Daphnia pulex: one gene and its partner. The protein of the gene in region 1 purifies or fractionates together with the protein of each later gene. This does not show direct contact. Links are inferred from orthologs where the notes say so. Each region holds a gene or a part of one and is shown on either strand. Other genes may lie near its edges. The genes, in order: DNA replication licensing factor mcm7-like and cell division control protein 45 homolog.

Evidence for each region.
Region 2: the proteins of DNA replication licensing factor mcm7-like (region 1) and cell division control protein 45 homolog purify together in Drosophila melanogaster (affinity purification with western blotting; 3 studies listed by BioGRID, with this or other methods). This does not show direct contact. The link is inferred for Daphnia pulex from reciprocal best matches to the Drosophila melanogaster genes Mcm7 and Cdc45.

Annotation. Positions count from the first base shown.
Region 1 is NC_060025.1:5,067,182-5,071,697, reverse strand, and holds the start of DNA replication licensing factor mcm7-like, read left to right. Parts: upstream 1-1,541; 5' UTR 1,542-1,657; coding exon 1,658-1,694; intron 1,695-1,750; coding exon 1,751-1,851; intron 1,852-1,907; coding exon 1,908-2,167; intron 2,168-2,230; coding exon 2,231-2,301; intron 2,302-2,368; coding exon 2,369-2,478; intron 2,479-2,543; coding exon 2,544-2,681; intron 2,682-2,748; coding exon 2,749-2,931; intron 2,932-2,992; coding exon 2,993-3,213; intron 3,214-3,329; coding exon 3,330-3,406; intron 3,407-3,469; coding exon 3,470-3,681; intron 3,682-3,744; coding exon 3,745-4,159; intron 4,160-4,221; coding exon 4,222-4,322; intron 4,323-4,386; coding exon 4,387-4,496; intron 4,497-4,516. Other genes in the region: single-stranded DNA-binding protein, mitochondrial-like, read right to left, coding at 1-158, 214-333, 396-567.
Region 2 is NC_060026.1:14,327,524-14,331,937, reverse strand, and holds cell division control protein 45 homolog, read left to right. Parts: upstream 1-1,331; 5' UTR 1,332-1,418; coding exon 1,419-1,469; intron 1,470-1,546; coding exon 1,547-1,699; intron 1,700-1,764; coding exon 1,765-1,902; exon of another isoform or gene 1,903-1,962; coding exon 1,963-2,052; exon of another isoform or gene 2,053-2,111; coding exon 2,112-2,306; intron 2,307-2,349; exon of another isoform or gene 2,350-2,369; coding exon 2,370-2,431; exon of another isoform or gene 2,432-2,490; coding exon 2,491-2,664; intron 2,665-2,725; coding exon 2,726-2,857; intron 2,858-2,921; coding exon 2,922-3,182; intron 3,183-3,256; coding exon 3,257-3,395; intron 3,396-3,461; coding exon 3,462-3,667; intron 3,668-3,731; coding exon 3,732-3,808; intron 3,809-3,874; coding exon 3,875-3,939; 3' UTR 3,940-4,168; downstream 4,169-4,414. Other genes in the region: NAD-dependent protein deacylase, read left to right, coding at 41-255, 315-457, 530-680, 750-804.

The DNA of each region.
Region 1 (4,516 bases):
GTGCCTTAAATTACCCTCAGGTTCTTTTACTTCTCCATAGATGATTCTTCCTTGAACAAAAACTCTTTGTCCTTTATTAGTGTACTTTAATATCGAGTCTCTCAGGTAAGGTTTAAACACACAAATTCTGTGCCACTCAGTCTTCTGGTTGACATCTCCTTTAGGAAAACAAATCAGTTTAAAATATTTTGAATTAAATTTCAATTAACAAACCATTGGGATAACTATAGTTTGAGTTTGTAGCCAAAGAAAATGTAACAACTGGATGTTCCAAAGAACCACGTTTAACAGGATTTGAGCCAACTCTACCCAACAGAGTCACCGAATTAATAGCTACATAAAAGAACATTAGAACCTAAATACTATATAAATGAATGTAATCTTTTAAAACTAACTTTTTTCCACACCAACTGTAAGAGGGGTAGTTTCGCCAGTGTTGTTGTTTGTAAGGTGAGTTCTCCATTCATCAGAATCAACTTGTTTGCGACATGACAAATATATTTGTCGACTCAACGCAAATCTAGACATATTTGAAATGAAACGACTTCCTGATTTCAACGTTAACATTTCTTTTCTTTCTTATTTATCTGGAGAGACGAAGAGAAAAACTGTATTTTATTTTTTTAAGATTACACTTGTGTTAAAAAAAATTTCTGGATTTTGAGGAGTTTGTTAATTATTACCAATAACAATGTTGCCACATAAAACAATCATTCCATACCAGATCCATAAAAATCAAAAAAAAATTTCTAAATTAATAATCTATATCTTTTTTATGAGTTTGAAGATAGCTATGATTGATAATGATAAAACGAGTTCTCATTACCGCAGTCATTGTATTTATCGATAAAAATTGAAAATGTGCCCTTATTAACCAGGAGTATGGAGAAATGGTTGCCACTTGCCAATGATCATGTTAAATTTCCTATAAGGGGATTCGACGGGAAGCTACTTTTTTACTAGCGATTTTGTATGGAGGTCGAGTTGAATCAACGCCATCTAAGACGTTGCGACATATATACAGTCAACTCGACCTTTGAAATGGCCCCTTTGAATGTCCATATGTCGCAACAGCCTAGATGGCGTTGATTCAAAGAGGCCACCGTATCATGTCCATACAAATGTCGCTAGTAAAAAAGTAGCTTCCCGTTGAATCTCCTTATGGGAAATTTAACATGGTCATTGGCAACATCTCTCCATACTCCTGTCCATACCCATGCCTTAACCTGATTTAATACCCAGGACATAACGTGACCTGGGTTATTTTACATGATGCAAGCCTCAAGCCAGTCAAGCGGGACGGTAAATTTTTTTTAAACGCCGATCAGGCTCCAACCCCATTAAGGAAAACAACCGCTTAATAATTTGACTGATATAAGAAGAAATCCGTCCCAAAAGGTCCGGGCCACAGCGCCAATGGGATCGGGATTCGGGATACACTCTGGGGATACATAAAAAAAAAAAAAAATGAAAGCGAAGAACTACATAAATATGGCAGCAGAGCGCTGTTTGTTAGGGCTCCGTTTCGCGCCCATTTCTGCGCAGAACAATAAACCAAGTAACTTGTCAAACAGTGTTAAGCACACAGCACAGGGAGTCAGTTATTAACATAAACCGATTCTGTTAGGCAGTTATCCATCTACGATTTCCTTTTAACATGGCTCTGAATCCGGTAGATTATAACGCGCAAAAGGGTAAATTAATATCTTATTTCATTTCTATATTGGAATTATTTTTTTTTTTGTTTTAGAAAAAATTAAAACGTTTTTCGCCGAATTTCACAAAGTGGGAAAAAACGGTAAAGACTTCAAATATGCCACTCAGTTAACTAGAATTGCTCACCGTGAGCAGGTAAAGTAAAAATACATTCGCAATCGTAAATTTATTTTAAAACAAGATTGTTGTAGGTTGAACTAGTGATTGATTTGGAAGATGTTGCTGAGTTTGATGATGAATTAGCAGAACAGATAGTTGACAATGGTAGACGATACACTTTGCTGTTTGGGGAAGTTGTTCAAGAAATGCTACCCAACTATAAAGAGCATGATGTTGAAGCAAAGGATGCCCTTGATGTCTACATTAATCATCGCCTGATAGTTGAAAATCAGCACCAAAATGATGAACCAAATAGACTGCACAAGTATCCTCCAGAATTGATGCGCAGATTGTAATCTACACTAATATTTTCTTGAAATAATTAATGTCTTCTGAAGCAATCATTTTTTTTTAGTGAGGTTTATTTTAAATCTCCTTCTTTGCAGAAGGCTATACCCATTAGAGAAGTAAAAGCTGTTCATATAGGTAGGCAATTTATTATTCAGCTTAGTGATAGGCTTCTAAAAAAGTTTTCTGTACACATTCATTCTAGGTAAACTAGTGACAGTTCGTGGCATAGTAACACGTTGCACTGAAGTGAAACCAATGATGCAGGTAGCAACATATACATGTGACCAGTGTGGTGCTGAAACTTATCAACCTGTAATTTCAAAGAAGCTTACACTGATGTTATTTTCCTCTAATTCTAAATATGGTATTTTCTCTAGATTAATTCAACATCTTTTATGCCGCTGTTGATGTGTCCCACTGATGATTGCAAAGTGAATAAGAGTGGTGGTCGCTTGTATCTTCAAACTCGTGGCTCTAAATTTGTCAAGTTTCAAGAACTGAAGATACAGGAACATGTAATCTGATATTTAAAAAAAAACTTAAACTTTTACTCATAATGTAACCATTTTGTTTTGTCAAAAGAGTGATCAAGTGCCGGTTGGCCACGTACCGCGGTGCTTGACCGTCTATTGTCGGGGCGAAACAACGCGTTTGTCTCAACCTGGAGATCATGTCAGCATTACAGGCATTTTCCTTCCTATGTTGCGAGCAGGTTTTCGTCAACAAATGCAAGGACTTCTTTCCGAAGCTTATGTCGAAGCACATGTAAATATGTTAGAACTCCATTCTGAATAGTGTTCATTAGCTCTTAACTGTTTGCTGACAGAGAGTAGTTAGGTTAAACAAAACCGAAGATGACGAAATGAGCATGGAAACTCTGACAGAAGAAGAACTGCGTCAAATCGGCGAAGAAGACTTTTACGAGAAGCTTGCTACAAGCATCGCACCAGAGATTTACGGACACGAAGACGTTAAGAAAGCGCTGTTGTTGTTGCTTGTTGGTGGAATTGATCGAAAACCCAATGGCATGAAAATTCGTGGAACGATGTAAGGCTAGTTTCTTTTTATATAAATGCATGTTTTCTAAAAAAAATCATGGAATCATAACAGAATAGGAATAGTATTAAATTAATCTAATTATTTTTATTTATCTTACGTCACAGCAATATTTGTCTAATGGGAGATCCTGGTGTTGCAAAGTCACAGCTACTGAAGTTCATCGATCGTCTAGCCCCAAGAAGTATTTTAAATAGCCCAAAATGTACGTTTGAAAACAATAATAATAATTTAAAAAAAAAAATAGGTCAGTATACCACAGGACGTGGATCTTCTGGTGTCGGTTTGACTGCTGCCGTGCTGAAAGATCCAGTTACGGGTGAAATGACCCTAGAAGGAGGAGCGCTTGTGTTGGCTGATCAGGGTGTCTGTTGCATTGATGAGTTTGACAAAATGCCTGAGTCTGATCGTACGGCTATCCACGAAGTCATGGAACAACAAACTATTTCAATAGCCAAAGTAAATTCATCAAAACACTAATTTAAAATTAAGTTTTTATTTAACTTACCATTAATATTTCAGGCAGGAATCATGACTACACTTAATGCCCGTGTTTCCATACTAGCAGCTGCCAATCCCGCTTATGGTCGATATAACCCAAAAAAATCTGTTGAACATAATATTCAATTACCAGCAGCCCTTCTTTCGCGTTTTGACGTTTTATGGTTGATTCAAGATCGCTCAGACAGAGAGAATGACTTAAGGTGTAACTTTGGTTGTCTTAATTCCTTATTGAGTTTGATCTGTTACTTATTTGCCTTCTTACCCATTGAATCATTTGGCAGACTGGCACGACATATTACGTATGTTCATCAGCACTACTGTCAACCTCCTACACGCGTGCAGCCGCTTGATATGAAACTAATGAGACGGTATATTGCTCTCTGTCGTCAAAAACAGCCTTCTGTCCCAGAACATTTGACCGACTACATCGTCAGTATGGACACATCAGATTTTCCTATTAATACTAGTTGAATAATTAAAAATATTTTATAATAGGCGCTTATGTTGAAATGCGTAAAGAAGCAAGAAATAACAAAGACATGACATTCACCTCGGCCCGTAATTTATTGGGTATTCTGCGTTTATCAACAGCATTGGTAATTATACTTATGTTATTTACGCCATATTTCACACTAAGTTGTCTAATTTAACGTGTTTTAGGCACGTCTTAGGTTGGCTGAGGAAGTGGAAAAAGAAGATGTTAGAGAAGCAATGCGTCTCATGGAAATGTCCAAGGATTCTTTGAATCATCACGATCAGCGCCCAATAAGGTATCTCATATTGTTTGATG
Region 2 (4,414 bases), on another chromosome or scaffold:
TGATTTCCTCACTTTAATCTGTATTTTTTTCTTGTTTCAGGCACACAATGCAATTGCAGAGTTCCAACATAGAATGACTAAAGAAGGAAGGCACGTCAGTGTGATCACCCAAAATATTGATGAACTTCATCAAAGGGCTGGTTCAGTCAATGTCTTAGAACTGCATGGCAGTCTGTTCAAGACTCGGTGTCTGAAATGTAAAAAGATAGAACCCAATCATGACAGTCCCATTTGTGAAGCTCTTAGGGGAAAGGGGTAAGATTTTCCTTTTTTACTTATTTCAAATAAAAATCTAATTGTCTTACCCTTATTAGATCACCATCCCCAAATGAGGTTGGAGAATTGGTTCCAGAATCATTGTTGCCCAGATGCAAAGTTTCTTCCTGTGGAGGCCTTCTAAGGCCCCATGTTGTATGGTTCCATGAAAATCTGGATTCTGCCGTTCTCAAAAAAGCTGGTAATTAGTACAATTTTTTCTTCGATGTCAATTTTTTATGTGTCCTATTTACGTGTTTATTTTATTATCTAGATGAGGAACTTAATAGTTGCGATCTGTGTTTGGTCGTTGGAACATCATCAGTTGTCTATCCAGCAGCAATGTTTGCTCCCCAGGTTGCTGAAAGAGGGGTTCCCGTCGCGGAATTCAATATGGAAACTACTCCTGCTACTCATCACTTTGGGTATGAAACACCTAAACATTTGCATGTCGTAAAGTTCTTTTCATAACACGTTATTGACGTTTCTGGCAGATTTCATTTTTCGGGTCCTTGTGGGGAACTTTTACCTAAAGCGCTGGCACCTTGACGATCGTGCGCCCAACTGTTGAATTGCTACAGACACTACGGTTTATAAAGACCTACAGCTGATAAATTAACATGCTTGTGCATTTAAAGTCGTATTGTTTTTATTATTTGTAAAAAACTACATATGCGTATACAAAACTTTACTAGAATCCGTACGTGAAATATTTTAAAATATGCGAATATTTGATTACCCCAATAGTTGAATCTTTAACAGTTGCATCAGCTTTATCCACGATAATGATTGATTAAAATTAGATTTTTACATAAAGACGATTTATTCTAACAGAGAAAAATATCTACAAAATAAGTTGAAAACTTTTGGTTGGTCATTTGAATTTCGGATGCTAATTGTCAACGAAAACTTAAGTAAGCGTTAAAAAGAAGGGAAATAAAAAAATTAAATTTTTCATATTTTGTGTGTGGAATTCTTTGTTTGTAAATATAAAAATATCACGTGTGCTTAAAAAACGAACGAAAAAACAAAATCAATTCCTTTGTCTGTGTTAAAGGGACACCAGAAGAGGCTTCGATTTTGTTGTTAGTTTCGCGCCATTTCACGTACCGAATGAAAAGAAGAGTGAGGGATCAGGGAAAGGGTATTGTGAATGGCTAACAATGTTTCTCAGTGACCTCAAACGCGAGTTTTACGATGTTATATTGGGAAAAGTAATAATGAACGACTGATTTACCGATATTTTGTGTGTGATATAAAGTAATGTCTTTCTCATATTTTCTTTGTACAGCGTGTCTTGATATTTGTGAATTTCGACGTGGATGCCATAGCTTCATGTCGAATTCTGCAGTACCTGTTACTTTGTGATTCAATCAGCTATTCTATAGTCCCTGTGCAGAGCCAAAATGATCTCATTTCAGCCTACAAAGAGAGCTGTGAACAGGTGAAAATGCATTCGTAATAATATATATAGTGTTGAAGAAGTGAGTGTCAATATAATTTCTACAGTCGAACCACATTATTCTGATAAACTGTGGAGGAACTTTGGACATTGTAGAAACATTAGAACCATCAGAGGAAAAAATCTTCTATATTGCAGACTCACATCGGCCATATGATGTTTGTAACATCTACAACGATGGACAGGTAAATATCACTGTTTACTTTTTATAGCGAAAACTTTGTTGATTGTGTGCCATTGTTTAGGTTTGTATACTGGGAAAGGTAAATGAGAAAGAAGATATACCAACATATGAAGATATCTTTGGGAATGATGATGACGATGATGATGATGAGGTAGTTAATTAATTGGCATATGTTTAAATTTGAAACTGATAAATTTTTAAAATAATTAGGGCAGCAATCCTTCAGATGGAGAAGCAAATGGTGATGGTGATGATGATGAAGAAGAAGTTCGTGAATCTAAATCCAAACGTCAGAAATTGGATCCTGCTGAAATGGTTATGCGTCGTAGAGAAAAAAGGCTATGGCATGAGAAAAGAAAGGAGATTTTGTTTAACTATATGCAATTTTCTTTTTATTCATCGTCGGTAAGTTTAATTCAAAATCAAAACTGTATTCAACTTTTATTACCATTCATTTTCGTCGTTTAGACTGCTCTTCTTATGTTTGAACTTGCCTGGAAATTATCTAGAGACAGCAATGACTTGTTGTGGTAATAATTCTTTAAATTTTTAGCTGAGTAAGAATGTACATGGTTCATTGGTATTGCAGGTGGGCTATTATTGGTGTGAACGAACAGCAGCTTCTGGGTAAAGTCGAATCAAAAACCTCGGTTCTTGATAATGGCAAATTGCAAAGTCACATGATTCGATTGGCCCATTTATCGCAACACGGTGGAGAATCGACAGGAACCAAAGACGCACTATATATAACCCACGAAAAAGAGTAACATAATATTTTTGCTATTTAATTTACAGTAATTTAAATTAACTTTTTGTTTAAACAGTTTAAATTTGTCAATGTACCGACACTGGAGTTTATTGGAAAGCTTAAAATACTCTCCTCAAACAGCCAGTCATTTTCAACTTTGGACACTGAAAGGAGAGAAAAAACTCAACGAGTTTCTAGCTGAATTGGGGTAATTTCAGAATCCAAATATATTTTACTACTATTATTGCAATGTCTTTTATTATTGCTCACAGGCTTCCACTGTCTCAGTGTCGCCAAAAATTTAACTCTATGGATATCGAGCTTCGAAATGATTTGCGTGCCATTTTCCAGAAAAAAGTGGAAAAATACGACTTGGAAGACCTCGTTGAATACAGTTTTAATTCTCAGTATGGATTCCGGCCAAAGAATTCCGCCAGTGACTATGTCTACGCTCTTATAGCGTTGCTTGATTCGGCCGAAAAGGATAAAGATCCAGCCGATGCATTTCACGACGCACTGGAATGTCTTTCAAAGTATGCTTCTTAACCTCAAGTCATCTTCATAGAAAGAATCGTGATTGAGACATTGTTCCTTTCATATCTTTTAGCTCGAAAATGGATGCTGTTTATAAAGGAATCGAACTGGCCAAGCTTCAGCAAATGGCGATCGGAAAAGAAGTGCACACCTGTCTGGATATGGGTCACGTGATCAGCGCAGGACCTTGTTTGTACGCAGTTATCCAAGACGTAATAATAATGAATCGTATTCATCCCTGACACGAATAGCATCTAAACAACTTGTGCAACATACAGGGGACACCAGACGCCAAGTACTATGGTTATCCGCACAGTTTGCTCATGCTGGGACAGTTTCTTCTCAAAGCCCACATCTCGCGAGCACGAGGTCGTGGATTGAGAGCGAGAGAGCTTCCACTCATCATTTCAGCCCCATCGGCGTCTCGACCATCTCATTGCCTTTTATTGGGTTTGCCTCCTTTATCATTGGATTCCCCTAAAAAGTAAGTGCCTCATCTCCTAGAATTCCATTTACCGTTTCTTAACCGTTTGCAACGATTGTCACAGCTTGATTGGAAAAGCCTTTGAGCAAGCAGCTGAAAATACCCAAACAGAAATCACATCTGTATTTTTTGACTCCTCCGGTATGAGATTTGTGTTGCTGTAGGTAGCGATTTATTTACTAATTCGTTTTTCTCTTGAATGCGCAGTGATCGAGATCAACTCGGAATGCCGAACCAATTTCTTGGATTCGCTCTTTTCACTCCTAGAGTAACACAAATTTACCGAACCCGAACGGTCAAAATGGGATTAGTGATTCACATCAAACGAGTATCTTTTTTCTTCTTATTCTTATTTAAGGCTGTACTCCCTCTAGAGAATTTTCTCCCCCTTTTTTTTTTAAACATGCCATACTTGATTTTAAAACAGTGTGTAGAATTTCGTTGGCGATTTCCCGTGCAAATTATATATTATCGCCGATTATACATCCTTTATTGCAATAACTTTTTATCTACTTTACCTTTTGAAAAGGCAGCCAGTCTTAAGTAAGTTAAGTATCTCACGGCAAACAATTGGATGCGCTTGATTCCCGACATGTGTTATGGCTTCCGCGCATCCATTCTGTTTCATTCACGGTTGACAGCAATTTATTTGTTTCCATGTCGCAATTCAATAGGGATGCGCTTGGAAGATCTTACAGTTGCCTTCATTATTCGGGAGATTCTTTTTCTCGGGTGGTTTGATTTGTG